Linked DNA regions of Arabidopsis thaliana. The protein of the gene in region 1 interacts with the protein of each later gene in a pairwise test. Each region holds a gene or a part of one and is shown on either strand. Other genes may lie near its edges.

Evidence for each region.
Region 2: the proteins of LSD1 (region 1) and NF-YC8 interact in binary tests that used the Arabidopsis thaliana proteins (3 or more experiments, as listed by UniProt).
Region 3: the proteins of LSD1 (region 1) and AT5G08520 interact in binary tests that used the Arabidopsis thaliana proteins (3 or more experiments, as listed by UniProt).

What each region holds. Positions count from the first base shown.
Region 1 is NC_003075.7:11,002,895-11,007,468, reverse strand, and holds LSD1 (LSD1 zinc finger family protein), read right to left. Parts: upstream 2,953-4,574; 5' UTR 2,755-2,952; intron 2,635-2,754; 5' UTR 2,573-2,634; exon of another isoform or gene 2,458-2,572; coding exon of another isoform or gene 2,443-2,457; coding exon 2,319-2,442; intron 2,230-2,318; coding exon 2,125-2,229; intron 2,040-2,124; coding exon 2,008-2,039; intron 1,913-2,007; coding exon 1,867-1,912; intron 1,636-1,866; coding exon 1,496-1,635; coding exon of another isoform or gene 1,475-1,495; exon of another isoform or gene 1,396-1,474; coding exon 1,324-1,395; intron 1,232-1,323; coding exon 1,160-1,231; intron 1,073-1,159; coding exon 1,031-1,072; 3' UTR 681-1,030; downstream 1-680. Other genes in the region: AT4G20390 (Uncharacterized protein family (UPF0497)), read right to left, coding at 1-98, 190-401; TSF (PEBP (phosphatidylethanolamine-binding protein) family protein), read left to right, coding at 4,504-4,574.
Region 2 is NC_003076.8:9,939,992-9,943,128, forward strand, and holds NF-YC8 (nuclear factor Y, subunit C8), read right to left. Parts: upstream 1,457-3,137; 5' UTR 1,309-1,456; coding exon 745-1,308; 3' UTR 678-744; downstream 1-677. Other genes in the region: AT5G27920 (F-box family protein), read right to left, coding at 2,072-2,317, 2,405-2,699, 2,782-2,911, 3,008-3,137. UniProt on the Arabidopsis thaliana protein: Stimulates the transcription of various genes by recognizing and binding to a CCAAT motif in promoters.
Region 3 is NC_003076.8:2,754,467-2,760,294, reverse strand, and holds AT5G08520 (Duplicated homeodomain-like superfamily protein), read left to right. Parts: upstream 1-1,754; 5' UTR 1,755-2,553; coding exon 2,554-2,930; intron 2,931-4,305; coding exon 4,306-4,825; 3' UTR 4,826-5,151; downstream 5,152-5,828. Other genes in the region: CI51 (51 kDa subunit of complex I), read left to right, coding at 1-447; AT5G08510 (Pentatricopeptide repeat (PPR) superfamily protein), read right to left, coding at 5,564-5,828. UniProt on the Arabidopsis thaliana protein: Transcription activator that coordinates abscisic acid (ABA) biosynthesis and signaling-related genes via binding to the specific promoter motif 5'-(A/T)AACCAT-3'. Represses ABA-mediated salt (e.g. NaCl and KCl) stress tolerance.

The DNA.
Region 1 (4,574 bases):
GACGAAGACCTTTGTACTCCAGTTTCCGGCTGAAAATCTGAACCACAATCATCAACAAGTTGTGGAAGCTCACCATTACATTAGCTATAACAAAGAACCTGTAAAACCAAGAATCAATGTTAATAACTCAAAAACATTTTGCTTTCAATATGTATCGAATCGATTTCGTATAGGGTTTTACTCGCTTACACAAAAGCCGGTGTGTGCTGAAACTTAGCGGTTAAAGTGGCTTTAATAGGAACAGTACCAATGGTGGCCACAACCAAGGTCTTTGTCTCTTTGTTTAGTGACATTACAATGGCTGCAGCTAAAGTAGCCATGAATGCAAATATTCTCAGCCCCAAGAGTAGTTTCCAGCTCTTTGTGGTACCACCAGCCACCACAATCTTCTCTCTGGCCATTGTTGATGCAGTGAGTGATCAAGAGAAAGTGATGAAACTTTGTGTCAGTGTTAAAGAGTATTTATATGGAAAGAGTTTGGTCTTGTTGAGAGGTTTTGTCGGATCATCTAACTTTAATGTTCTTGGAGGGTACTGACTGATTAGGTTATGGTTGTTGTGACAAGATTACTGCAAAATAGATTTCCAGATTTCAAGACTTGCTCTAAGACAAGTCTTATCTACCAAAGCTAAGACCAGTTCTTGTGACATGTAGCATATCTCATCCACGGAAGAGACAGATTTCAAACCCAAATCTTAATGATTGGTTGGTGTATCAGATTATATTCATACATACATTAACAATGCCACAAGGGCCGATGGAGTTTTAGAAGTCAACAAACAGAAGAGAAGGTCAAGTTCCATGGAGCAAAAGAATGCCAAATTATTCGAGCAAAAACCTTGTGTCTTCAACTTTGAATAAACCCCAATAATGCAGTAACAAGAGATTCTGATAAGCTTTTTCTCTTGGGTTAAAAAGGAGTCAAGAGATATATAACATACAGTTTTTCCGCGTATGTAATATGCACAAACCAAACGCAGGAATAGAGGAAGAATTTGGATTTGATCTTTAAGATCTCACTCATTCTTGATTACTTTTTGTCAGTTGTCACTCCAACAACAACATTGCTCACCTGCAATTTGTGTGTTTCAGTCACTTTGTCATATCTTCCTCTAATGTGGTAAATAAGAAGAAGAACACAGGTGATAGAAATACTCACCAACTTTCCGCTTTCATCAACGGACATGGGGTTTTCTACAACAACGGTTTGGGTCTGAGAGGGTGGTGTTGACTGTTGGTAAAATGAAAAATCGATGAACAGAGTAAGTACCAGTTCCATAAGAATATACAGAACTATTACAAATTCATAATTTGATAACTCACAGTTGATGTAGAGGGGGGACAAGCTGTTCCATTTGGCCGGTTAGTTGGGAGAGGTACCCTTCCATTGCTCATCTAAGGATGCAAAATGAATCAGAAATGAAAATTTCCAACAGAAAGATCTCTATACTTAACTCAACCATGCAGAGGTGGCTTAATAGATAGGAATAATCACATTAACGTTAGTTACGAATTGACAAACAGCGCATTTGACGGATGATGCACCGTAAGGATACATGAGGGTCGTCCGACAATGCCCACAATTGATCTGCGCAACCTGACTGGAAGGAGCATGGGCAACCTGATTGGAGTGCGCTGTCGATTTCAAAAAAGACACGCACAGATTCAGAAAACAAGCAATGTTAATGCTAGAAAAATCCAAGAAATACTAATGAACGAAGTAATCAGCAATGTTCTTAAGCAGTCATGGATAAATGATAATCATACAGCTAAATGACAACAGCTTAGACGCTAATTAAAGATAAGAATCTAATGGTAGATCAAACAAAACAATAATAAACCCTACTAGCTCTAACAAGTAGTTACCTAGTCCACCGGGACCATCTAAAAGCTTTGTTTTAAGTACTTTCAGCTGCTTTACAAATCCCAGATATTTTCAGAATTCAGATTCATATACATCTTTGGGAAAAGTGGAAATACGTTACGTAAGCATCATCTCCACAGAACAATGTTATCAAACAAAAGTGTGAAAGAAGATTCTAAAGGACTAAAAGACCTTATAAAGCAATATAATACATGGTCTTTAAAAGGATTGATATGGATGTCACGATATTATTAATATACCTGGCACAAGGTTCGTAGTTTGACAGCAAGAGCATCTTACGCTACTAGCCCCACGCGTATACATAAGCATTGTTCTACAACCACCACATATAATGTGTGCCATGTCTGTATTCAGAATCAGAACCCAAGTTATAATACAATTGCAGAGCATATTAACCTCATCCTCAATTCAAATTCAACAAAGAAATCGATACCGTGAGGTGGAGGAGGAGGAGGAACCATGTTGATAGTGTTACATAACGCACAACGCACATTAGATGCTCCTCTAGGATACATCAATAAATTCCTACAACCATGACACACCAGCTGGTCCTGCATATCTGCTACTTTCATCCAAACACACACAAATTGCTTCAAAACAAGACCCACACAGATGAAACCCTAAACATTTCACAATACTTAGTCATTGCAAGGAAGCAATTGGAGATTCAAATACCTAAAAACTCACCTGATTAACAAAAAGAGCTGATTTTGGAACGAAACCCAAATCCAATTCAAAGCCAAAAACTTCTGCATCCAAATCAAAACAAGAATTGTGTGTTGAATCAAACAAACAAACAAGGACAATGATGAGATTACAGAATTGGCGAAAATTGAAAAAAAGGAACAAACTTTGGAGCTTGTTCTTACCGATTGGAGAAGGGTAAGGAATCGAATCCAAAACCCGCGAAAGCTAGAGCGATGATATGCAGAAAATCCAATCCAAATTGAGGAGATAGACAATAGATTTCGATTTTTCTCTCTCTCTATCTCCAAAATCTCAATGCCCGGATTTATCTCTCTGTTTTTCGTAATTTACGCTTCTTTTTTTTTTACATGACGCGTAAGGGTTTTTTTCTCGGTCATAAACGCGTATATACAAACGCAGCGATTGGCTTCTGCTAATTAAATATGAATTTTTATGCCAAGCATACGTCCATAGATCAATTAATTATGGGTAAAAATATATTTTCTAATTTTCTGCAAATGGTGTAATAATATTAAATTATTTTTTGTCTACCCCTTTGAACCAATGAAAATTCTATAATATTTGTGTGTTAAATGAAAAATCGTACATGCTGCCAAACAAAAAATTCATAATAAATAAATGAAAATCGCATATAAACTTTAATCAAATGTTCTGAACATAACGTCCCACGTATGTTTTCGTTTGCTTATTCATATCGGAAGAAGAGTAATTTGCGCATTTCATATTACAAATTGGGGAAATGGACAATAAATTGGAGAGCAAAAATCATAGCCATCTAACCTCACACACTTTTCTTTTTGTTAGGTACCAGAAATATCAAGAATCACTGAGCTAATTGTATTCTCATGACTTTTTGTGGTCAGCAAATGAAACTGGTCTGCAATAGTTTTTAGAAGTCTTTATCGGTTTATTTCTCATGTGTTTTGTCAGAAATTTCTTAGAAATTTTTGTCTTCCAAACTTGGGGAACTAAATTTGTTTGGAGTGTAAGAATACACGGTTGAGCTTTTAGGTAATACACTTGTTTTTGAAAGGTATAATGAATTTTAAAAAAATTACTTTATCAACATTTAAGATTTGGAGACAATTTTGAAATCACGTTTGAAAACGAATTTTTTGGCCAATTGTTCACTTTTCTGTCGTTATTATACTTCTGTTACCTTGTGTCTATTTGTTAATTTACTTGTTTTATTTGATTTACTCCATTGTTTTAAAAGTTTTACTGGTTTGTTTTGTTAAATTGATATTTTTGATGGTATTAATTAAGTTTAGTACTACATTAAGAAAAGAAAAAAAAGAGTCTAGTACGTATGTACACACCAACCAGATATGTGAACAATTATGGCGTCAATTTATCTGGAGCATATATACTTTTATATGATGGTTTAGGTTGAAGGAGTTATTCTAAAATGCATTAACATCATACATAATCGGTGTAATGTAGTGTCCTTAACTATTTAAATGAGTGACATGTGACGCAAAATGCGTGACGTACGCAAATATGCAGCATATTATATGCTTGTGACATTATTTTAAATAGTTCATGAAGTTACAATGATAAGTCAGAATAAATTACATACTAGTGGCTAGCAAGAAACAAGTGGATGATGTATAATTTGGAATATGATTATTTCTGTTTTATACTGGTGGGTTTTGGAATAAGAATACTATAAATTTAGAAAAAAGGAAAGAAAAAAAAAACATGAATTATAAGTGATATACGTACGTTGAACGAGTTGTAGATTCTCGAAACTATACACGAAAAGACCCTGGTAATGATTTCATTGGAGAGAATAAAGCTAAATAGCTAATTATTGCAATTCCCAAAACGTTATATAAAGAATAGCAAGTAAGGGTTCATAAGGTAAGAAGCAAAACATTTGATTGAGATACTTGAGATCCAAGATAAATATGTCTTTAAGTCGTAGAGATCCTCTTGTGGTCGGCAGTGTTGTTGGAGATGTTCTTGATCCTTTCACGAG
Region 2 (3,137 bases), on another chromosome or scaffold:
GATCTCGCCTTATCTAACTTCATGTAGAGAGATTATGAAAAAATTGAGGGTTAGTAGAGAATAAATAAAAAAAAATCAAAACTTAGATCTGGACACAAACGGTGAGAACCCTATGCAGGATACTTATGTAAGTATACATGGGAAGACATAGAAGAAGATAGAGATAGAGGGGAAAAAGAACCAAACTTTAGATCTGGCCACAATCGTTAATTTCTATGCAATTGAAGTATAAAGAGGAAGAAATAGAAGAAGATCGGCAATAAATAAACGAAAATCAATGGCTTACCTTACCAGATTCGTCGGCAAGGGGAGGATCAGAAATTAATACTTGGATTGCTAACGGCGACAAGAACGAGAAGAAGGTTTCAAGGAGACAATCAAGTTCTGGGCTTGATTGAAGAAGATGAGAGTAACCGACGGTGAACGCAATCGCCAACGACGGCGCTAGATTTTGGGAGGATATTTTGCGGTGTGAAGAAAAAACAAGATTTTTATTTTCTCATATATTACTTTTGGTGCGAGAGAATGAATATAATGTTAGCTTCTGAATATTTCAAATTTCAAACCGAGAATCATCACGCTCCCAAATAGTGTATTGTCCCCTCAATGTCTAAGGTTATACATGTAATAATACATGTGTTTCCGACAGAACATTGTATCTCATGGCTATTTCTTTAAAAAAATTAGATCCATGACTATTTACTACATATTCCCTTGAAAATACCCTAAAACGTATTCCACTTATTAGTTTCCGTCGTCACCTCCTTTTTTCCCACGCGCTTCTTCCTCCTCACCAGACACCGAGGTCCAAGCTCCAGGCCATGCCTGCATTTGTGGTTGTGGTTGGTGGATTCCAAGACTACAACAAACAGGAGTTCCAATTACCATTCCTGGAGGCAGCTCTCCATCGTCAATAGGTGGCATGGCCACAGGATCAGCAGCGGCGGCAACAGACTCTCTCTTTACCTCAATGTCATCATCAAGCAAGAAATCAAAGATAACAGTTTGAGCCACTGCGGCATCGACATTAGATTTCTGTAGCGTGACTCGTTTGCTTTCCTGAGCATGGAGCCACGAACGCATCGTGAGATCCATGATAAACATCTCACATGCTTTCGAGAGGAGGATTGGAGCCTCACTAGCTATCATAGTCACATCCGGATCATACTTCATAATCTTCTTGATACGAGTTATAGGAAGGTCGTGATTTTTGAAATCTAAGTTACCTTCCATCTCTTTTGACCAGAAACTCTTCAGTTGCTCGTTACCTTTCGGTGGCAGCTGGTTGTTGCCGTTGTTGTTCTCCATAAGATTTTTTTCTTTTTTGAAGTTTCTAGTGTTCTAGGCTTGTTATTTTTTTATTTGAAGATTTGCATATATAAAGGAAAAGCTTAAGCATAGATTAGATATGGTGGGATAGTAAGCAGGTAAACTTTTACAACAATGAATCTTAACGCATTTAGTATATTGTTAAGAATATTTAATGATATTAACATTATTTGTTTGACTAACATTATTTGGTTATTATTATAAGAAGAAAAAAGAAAGTGATTTATTTTTACTTAAAGTGTATATATTATACCAATTAATAGTGTTAGAAAAAAGAAATAAAGTAAATACAAAACTATATTTTCTCTATAAAATTGCAAGATAATTTTTTGCTGTACAAAACTTATTTTGAATTATTTAGTTAAAAAATATGTTTTCAAATGTTAAATGTGAAAGCATAATTCATATCATTGCTCGAACACAAAGGAGTTACATGTTGCATCTGATTGGTTTAGCTTTCTGTTAGACTTCAAAAACATATGATCATCAGTTCATCACATAGATCTATTACACATCAACAACTTTCTAACTAGAAATCATTACTTAAGCGTTGTCCGATCTTTTTTACCGGTTATAGCAAAATATTTTACCGCAGCAATTCACTTAAACCGATTCATTTATATGGATCCAAAACAAACCGCTACTAAAGTTTCACTGATTTTTAACATTGAGATTATAAACATCAAAAACCTACAACAGTATAAACTAACCAACACAAGAAACCGCGTTGTTCTTTATGTTTTCAGTCCCATCTAATGCGGCAACCACGAGCATGAAGCGTCTCGAGCAATTCCGATGAGAGCAAGAATCTGAGAGGTGCGAGAAGTTTAAGCTTCTTGAGCCTATTGCAACAGGCTCTTAGAGCAAACTCAAACCCTTCTACAGTCACACGGCTCAGATGAACTAAGTCAACGTCTTGAACCCGACTCAGATTGCTCATCAACATGCATAGAGCCGTATCAGACACCGAGCAATTGCACAAGTTTATCTGCCAAACAAAACACACAACACAAGAATCAAACATGTTTCCAATAGATGCTTCCAGATCTCCATCTATAAATGTTATTTTTTGTACCTGTCGTAGGTTTTTCGAGAAGTAAGCGAGCGCCCAAAAACCCGAATCATCAATATTCTCGCAGAGTTTAACGTCCAAGTAACCCAATTTCTTGCAGCCGGACGCAATGGCTGCTAAACCAACACCGGTTATATTCTTTAGCCCTCGAAGTTCGAGGTGACTTAGAAGTTCTAGCTGCCGGATTTGTTCAACCCCGGTGTCAGTTAGTTCACAGCAGTATGATAGAATGAGTCGGTTCAAGCTCTTGCAACCTCGAGATAAAGCTGCTAAACCATCATCTCCAAAACCGGCACAGCTGCACTCAAAAACCAGAAATCAGTAAGAAAACGAAACATGTCTTGCACATTTTTCATCAAGAATCCACCAAGAAAGTGTACCGGTATAGATCAAGTTCTAGAAGCTTCGAACATTTGGAACCAATATGGAAAATCCCTTTGTCTGAGATATTTGTGCAGAGTCCAAGTTTCAATCTTTGAAGATTCGAACACTTCGAGATATATTCTAGCCCTGCGGTCCCAACGGAACAAAAAACCGTAAGATACCAAAGATGACAATATCTAAAACACAAACGGAGGTTTGAGTTCACATATATCTTTCTATTACCTCTGTCATTTACACCATAACAGTCAGTAAGATCAAGTTCTTGAACAAGCATGGAGTAACATCCAAGCGATTGAAGACCTTTCTCAGTTATCAAATGACAAGACTCTAACTTTAAAGTCCCTAGATTCCG
Region 3 (5,828 bases), on another chromosome or scaffold:
GCTATCATCCCTGGTGGTTCATCTGTTCCTCTGATCCCTAAGAACATTTGCGAGGATGTGCTGATGGATTTCGATGCGCTCAAGGCTGTCCAATCAGGGTTAGGAACTGCAGCAGTCATTGTGATGGATAAATCAACCGATGTTGTGGATGCAATTGCAAGGCTCTCTTACTTCTACAAGCATGAAAGCTGTGGGCAGTGCACTCCTTGCAGAGAGGGAACAGGTTGGCTTTGGATGATCATGGAGAGAATGAAAGTTGGCAATGCAAAGCTGGAAGAGATTGATATGCTGCAGGAGGTAACCAAACAGATCGAAGGACACACAATCTGTGCATTGGGTGATGCAGCTGCATGGCCTGTGCAAGGTCTGATAAGACACTTTAGGCCAGAGCTCGAGAGAAGGATCAGGGAACGCGCTGAAAGGGAGTTGCTACAGGCTGCTGCTTAAGTACCTTGTTAACCAGAGGTTTGCATCTCCAGTCCTTGCTCTTTTAATCTTCTGTTGCAAACTTAAAAGCTGAGGTCTAGAGTTTACGCAGCCTTTTAGAATGTATTTGTGACAAGGTAGACTGCTCTGTATCTAATTTCTTTGGGCATTTCAAGAACTTGAGCCGTAATGAACAGTTAGTTTCCGTAACTATCTTTCTGCTCTATCCCTGTCTTACAAAATTGATGTTTTTGCAGGGAGTTTGCTATTATTCTCCATGGAAATAAAATCTGAATGAACAACTAGTAACGGTTTTGGGATGCAAAGCTACTTCAGAAGGAGAAGAAGGTAATGTAATTTGTTTGAATGGTTAATGTTAAAACTCTCTTAAAGTTGTATCAGAAAGAGCGCGATTTGCTCTTTTGCATTACTCTACTTTCTTTATTGTTTGCTTGTTATGTTTATTCGAGTATGAAAGCACATTTTGGGAACAACCAAAGAAACCCTTTTCATGTTTGAAATAAAGAATGCTCCTTTTTGGGTTTATAAGTAGTTCACATAGCAAATAAATTATAAATCAATGTTTCTTTTTGGCATTTTCTGAAAAATATCTCTAGGATATAAATTGGTATATCATTGTTCTGTATACAACTTGATATGATAGTCCAAAATTAGTTTTTTTGGATAATGTATAACCAAAATGTGATTAGTCCCAACTTGATTTCGTAAAATCAAACAAAGTAGAAATCATCTTAAAACTATAAACTAGAAATTTCTAAATGGAATAACTTAAAGAATAAAATGAAATGGAAGTGATATATATATTCGCATTGAAATGGAGAAAGAGAGAAAAAGGAAAAGAGATAAATGAAGGCAAGGAAGACCTGTGAGGGTGATGGGGACCGGTCTGATTGGATATTATTTTTGGAGGATATTTATGGATAAGACGTCAACATCTTCCCTAACTTCTTTGTCCACCTCTCCCACCTTTTTCCCCCCTTTTCCAATTTCTTTACTTAATCGATAGAACTACTGAATCAACAAGTTGTTGTATGATGAAATTACATAATCACATATTTGCATAACTCGGAAAGTCGTCATATAGGCAATTAGCATCTTTGTTGTTTTCGATTTTCGATATGAGCTTAAGTTTGAACAATGTTTACAAATAGTTTGATATAGTATTTCATTGCCTTTTATAATCACCGTACAAATAATTATTATTCATCAATGATTGCCTCCCCAAATGTCACCAAAAGAAAAATCTAGTCACATGCGAAAGCATTATGAAAGTGAAAAAAGAAAAAACTGATATGAAATTACCAACGATGAGGAGTAGCAGTAATAAAATACATATGGCATAATTTGGTCAACAAGGAAATTCCAATATGAATTGGAAGTGTAACAAATAATAAAAGAGTCAACAATACCAAAAATAACAACAGCGGACTTGAGCTGTGAAAACTGTTGCTTATGGTTTTTATTCACTGTTTCTTTGTTTTGAACTTCCCCTTCCTTTAACAATGGCGTTTTGACCCCTCCCTATCTCTCTCTCTCTCTCTCTCAGTCTTCTGGGTTTTTCCTATTCCTCTTTCTCTCTCTCTCCTTCAAGTTGCTGCAATCCCTTGAAAACCCAATAAACCCCCAATTTTCCATTTCTCATAAAGTTCACATTTTTCCTTCTTCTTCTTCTGCCAATTCTCTGATTCCCTCGTTTCAATCTCCGTTTTGCTTTGCCTATCAGATAAATTTCTTCTTGCTTTCCTTTCTATCTCATAACGATAAGTTGAATTAATCTTTGCGTCTTAGTTCATCAGTAGAGAGAGTAGGGTTTTTTCCGCTTATTTTTAGGGAATTTCATTTTGTTGGAGGTGAGAATCTCTATTCGAGTCCCCAAGATTCTCTTTATATCCCTAGTTTAGTTGTATGGTTGGGTTTTGATTGGAATATCAAGGGGTAGTTTTTAGCTAGGTTCACTGATACTTGGAAGATCTGAGTTCTTTGGGATTCTGTTAAGTTTGTGGAGATCTAAAAGACACGAAATTTGTAGAAATCTGGTTGATATCCCAGACTTTTAGAGGGATTAGGGTAGATTCTATAGAATTTGAGGCGGGTTTGATTGGAATTATGACGGTGGAGGAAGTTAGTGATGGTTCTGTGTGGAGTAGGGAGGATGATATTGCCTTTGAGAGAGCTCTAGCCAATAATACCGATGAATCAGAGGAACGGTGGGAGAAGATTGCTGCAGACGTTCCAGGCAAAAGTGTTGAACAGATTAAAGAACATTACGAGCTTTTAGTTGAAGATGTTACTAGGATTGAATCAGGATGTGTGCCTCTTCCTGCCTATGGGTCTCCTGAAGGATCGAATGGCCATGCTGGTGATGAAGGAGCAAGTAGTAAGAAAGGAGGTAACAGTCATGCGGGAGAGTCTAACCAAGCAGGTAAATCAAAGTCCGATCAAGAACGACGAAAGGGTATCGCGTGGACAGAAGATGAGCACAGGTGAACTTTGTTTATTTTTGCTGCTAATCAGTTTCTGATTCTTCTTATTCTTTTATGATTCTTTCCAAATTATGTTTGTTCTGTGCTCCATGTCTTCATTGTGTTCTAGAACATTAATATTATTTCTCTTAAGTGACAATTTTGGTACTCTTGGGTGTCTAATTCTGTGAACCTTTAAGACATCAAGAGTTTTCAAAGTCATACTGTAGTTAGAAGCAATACCTTCACTGGAACTTTTAGGTCCTTGGTCTCCTATCTGATACTTTAAATTAAAAAAGGATGAATTGAGTTTTTTTTAGGGGGCACTGACCCGAGGTTACTCTAGAGGATGCTTGAAAGAAAAGTAGAGATTTCTTGAAGTGGTTTTAGTTTCGTGATTGTTTTAAAAGTCTCAGATGTTATTGGAATTATAACTTGGCATGGGACAGAGAAAGCTGTTCTCATAAATTCGCTTTACCTCCCTGTCCTAGTTGCTATATCATTACATCCACCATGTTAGAGATGATGGAGAGATGCTATCTAACCCCCGGGACCATTTTGACCATCTTTTTCCACCACTTGTTGAAGCTAGATGCTGTTTTACATGGTGAAACAGTCCATCCAACCTCTGTTATTGGAGGAACCCCACCTTCCTTTTAGAAAGAGACAAAAAAATCTTACTTTGAAGTTTAGTCTTCATTTTTCTCTCTTGAAGATGCAAGTGGTTTTGGGACCTTATTAGGGTAGATAAGGCGTAAAAACTAGAGTTAAGTATATAATGGTTATATTAGTGGCATATAATTAGTTACTGGACTGTTTTCTCACTTGCCAAAGATATGGGAAACTGATGTAACAGTAAAATCTATCTTTGTTGATTGAATGTTTTGCTGGGAGAGTTAAAAAAAATGCTTATCTGTCTGATTGAAACCTTTAAAAGAGATTCTTACACCATTTTTATAAACTTGTGTTTTCGCCATTATCTTGATCTACTCCCGTGTCATCTTGATAATTTGGTGGTTTACATGTGCTTTTTCGAGAAATTGGATTTTGGCGGTGATAGAAGAACCTCCTGGACAAGAAATCACGAGGTTCATTTTCAAATACGTTGTACGGGTGTTTAGAAATGTCTTTCCTGCTTAGTTAGGAGATTAAAATCCAGTGGAGAAGCAATTTAGAAGTAGGGTTCTGTATACTTGTGTGGCATTCTATCTGCAGATTAGCTGTTGAGGTAGATGCAAGACAAGACCTTACTGTGTTACCTGCAATTGGTTTTAGACTGTTTCCGTTTAGCAGTGGTTTGTGTGTTTTCATCTTTGAGACTATGGCCTGGAAGTTTCTGCCCTTTTGGTTATGCAGCGATTCTAATGAGCTGTTGTCTGTCTTTTCTATGTTACAGGTTATTTCTTCTTGGTTTGGATAAGTACGGGAAAGGTGATTGGCGTAGCATTTCTCGCAACTTTGTAGTAACAAGAACACCGACCCAAGTTGCGAGCCATGCTCAAAAGTATTTCATTCGTCTAAATTCAATGAACAAAGACAGAAGGCGATCAAGCATTCACGACATCACTAGTGTTGGCAACGCAGATGTCTCAACGCCACAAGGACCAATCACTGGTCAGAACAACAGCAATAACAACAACAACAACAACAACAACAACAGTTCTCCTGCTGTTGCTGGAGGAGGAAACAAATCAGCCAAGCAAGCCGTCTCTCAAGCACCACCTGGACCTCCTATGTATGGAACACCCGCCATAGGTCAGCCAGCAGTTGGAACACCAGTGAACCTCCCAGCTCCACCTCACATGGCTTATGGAGTTCATGCGGCTCCAGTCCCTGGCTCAGTGGTTCCTGGTGCAGCAATGAACATTGGTCAAATGCCGTACACCATGCCGCGTACACCAACGGCTCATAGGTAACTCGAAAGCACCTTTGCTGTCATAGTGCACTTTGTTTTTAGGTGTAAGAAAGAAGATGTGTAAAGGATTTAGTGAATATTCAAGCTTGTTCCTTGAGTGAGTTTTTTTTATTACTTAGTTTGTGGGGATTTTGTATGAGGTCCGAATAAGATATGAAGATGACATGATTAGTTTCCAGACTCGAGAAGCAAAAATACTCCTGTTTGTATGTGAACACAATAAAGCCTCTGTTATGAGACTTACAACAAAGCAACATTGTATATCTTGTTCTCACATTCAACAATCTCTTTGAATTATCAACTGCAACGTGCAATTCCTTATTTTGAAGTTGTAACTCATTTTGGATCTTGTATAATGATATATACTGTGACAGAAAATTCGTAGTTGAAGAAAAACAGAAGCAGATTACAAAGAATAACATAAGAAATACACAGATATTTTATAGCAAGCACACCCTCTATTAATCACATTTAGGACACATATGATATGCACCTGACATGGAATTTCAAAAGGAATAGTGAAAACCAGTGATAATATCGTCTCAATCCATGTCAGCTTTCTTCAACTATTCCGTCTCATCTCTTCGTGTTCGATCTACCTCGATATCCAACTAGTCTTCTTACTCAATGTGTACCAACGTTCATTTGATTGAACATAGGAATGTAAAGACACCAAAATCACATACAGTTTCAAAAGATTCAGTCATTGTTATTGGCAAAGTGAACAAAACATCTACTTTCATATGCATAGTTGTTCAGGCTGAAGCAAAGAATCAAAGCGACTCTTTTCCAGTTTCATTCTCCTGAAAATCTCCTCAAGAACCTGATAGATCTCATAAGATCTTGGGTGTGATTTATCTTCCACAGTAAATTTATGAACATCAACTCCAACTTCCACAAAATAGCTATATCCAGCAGCCTTTGTCATCGTTTCCTTCTTCATCAACTTCCGCATCCTCAAAACTCCATCCCACTTCTCATTGGCGGCGTAGATATTTGACATG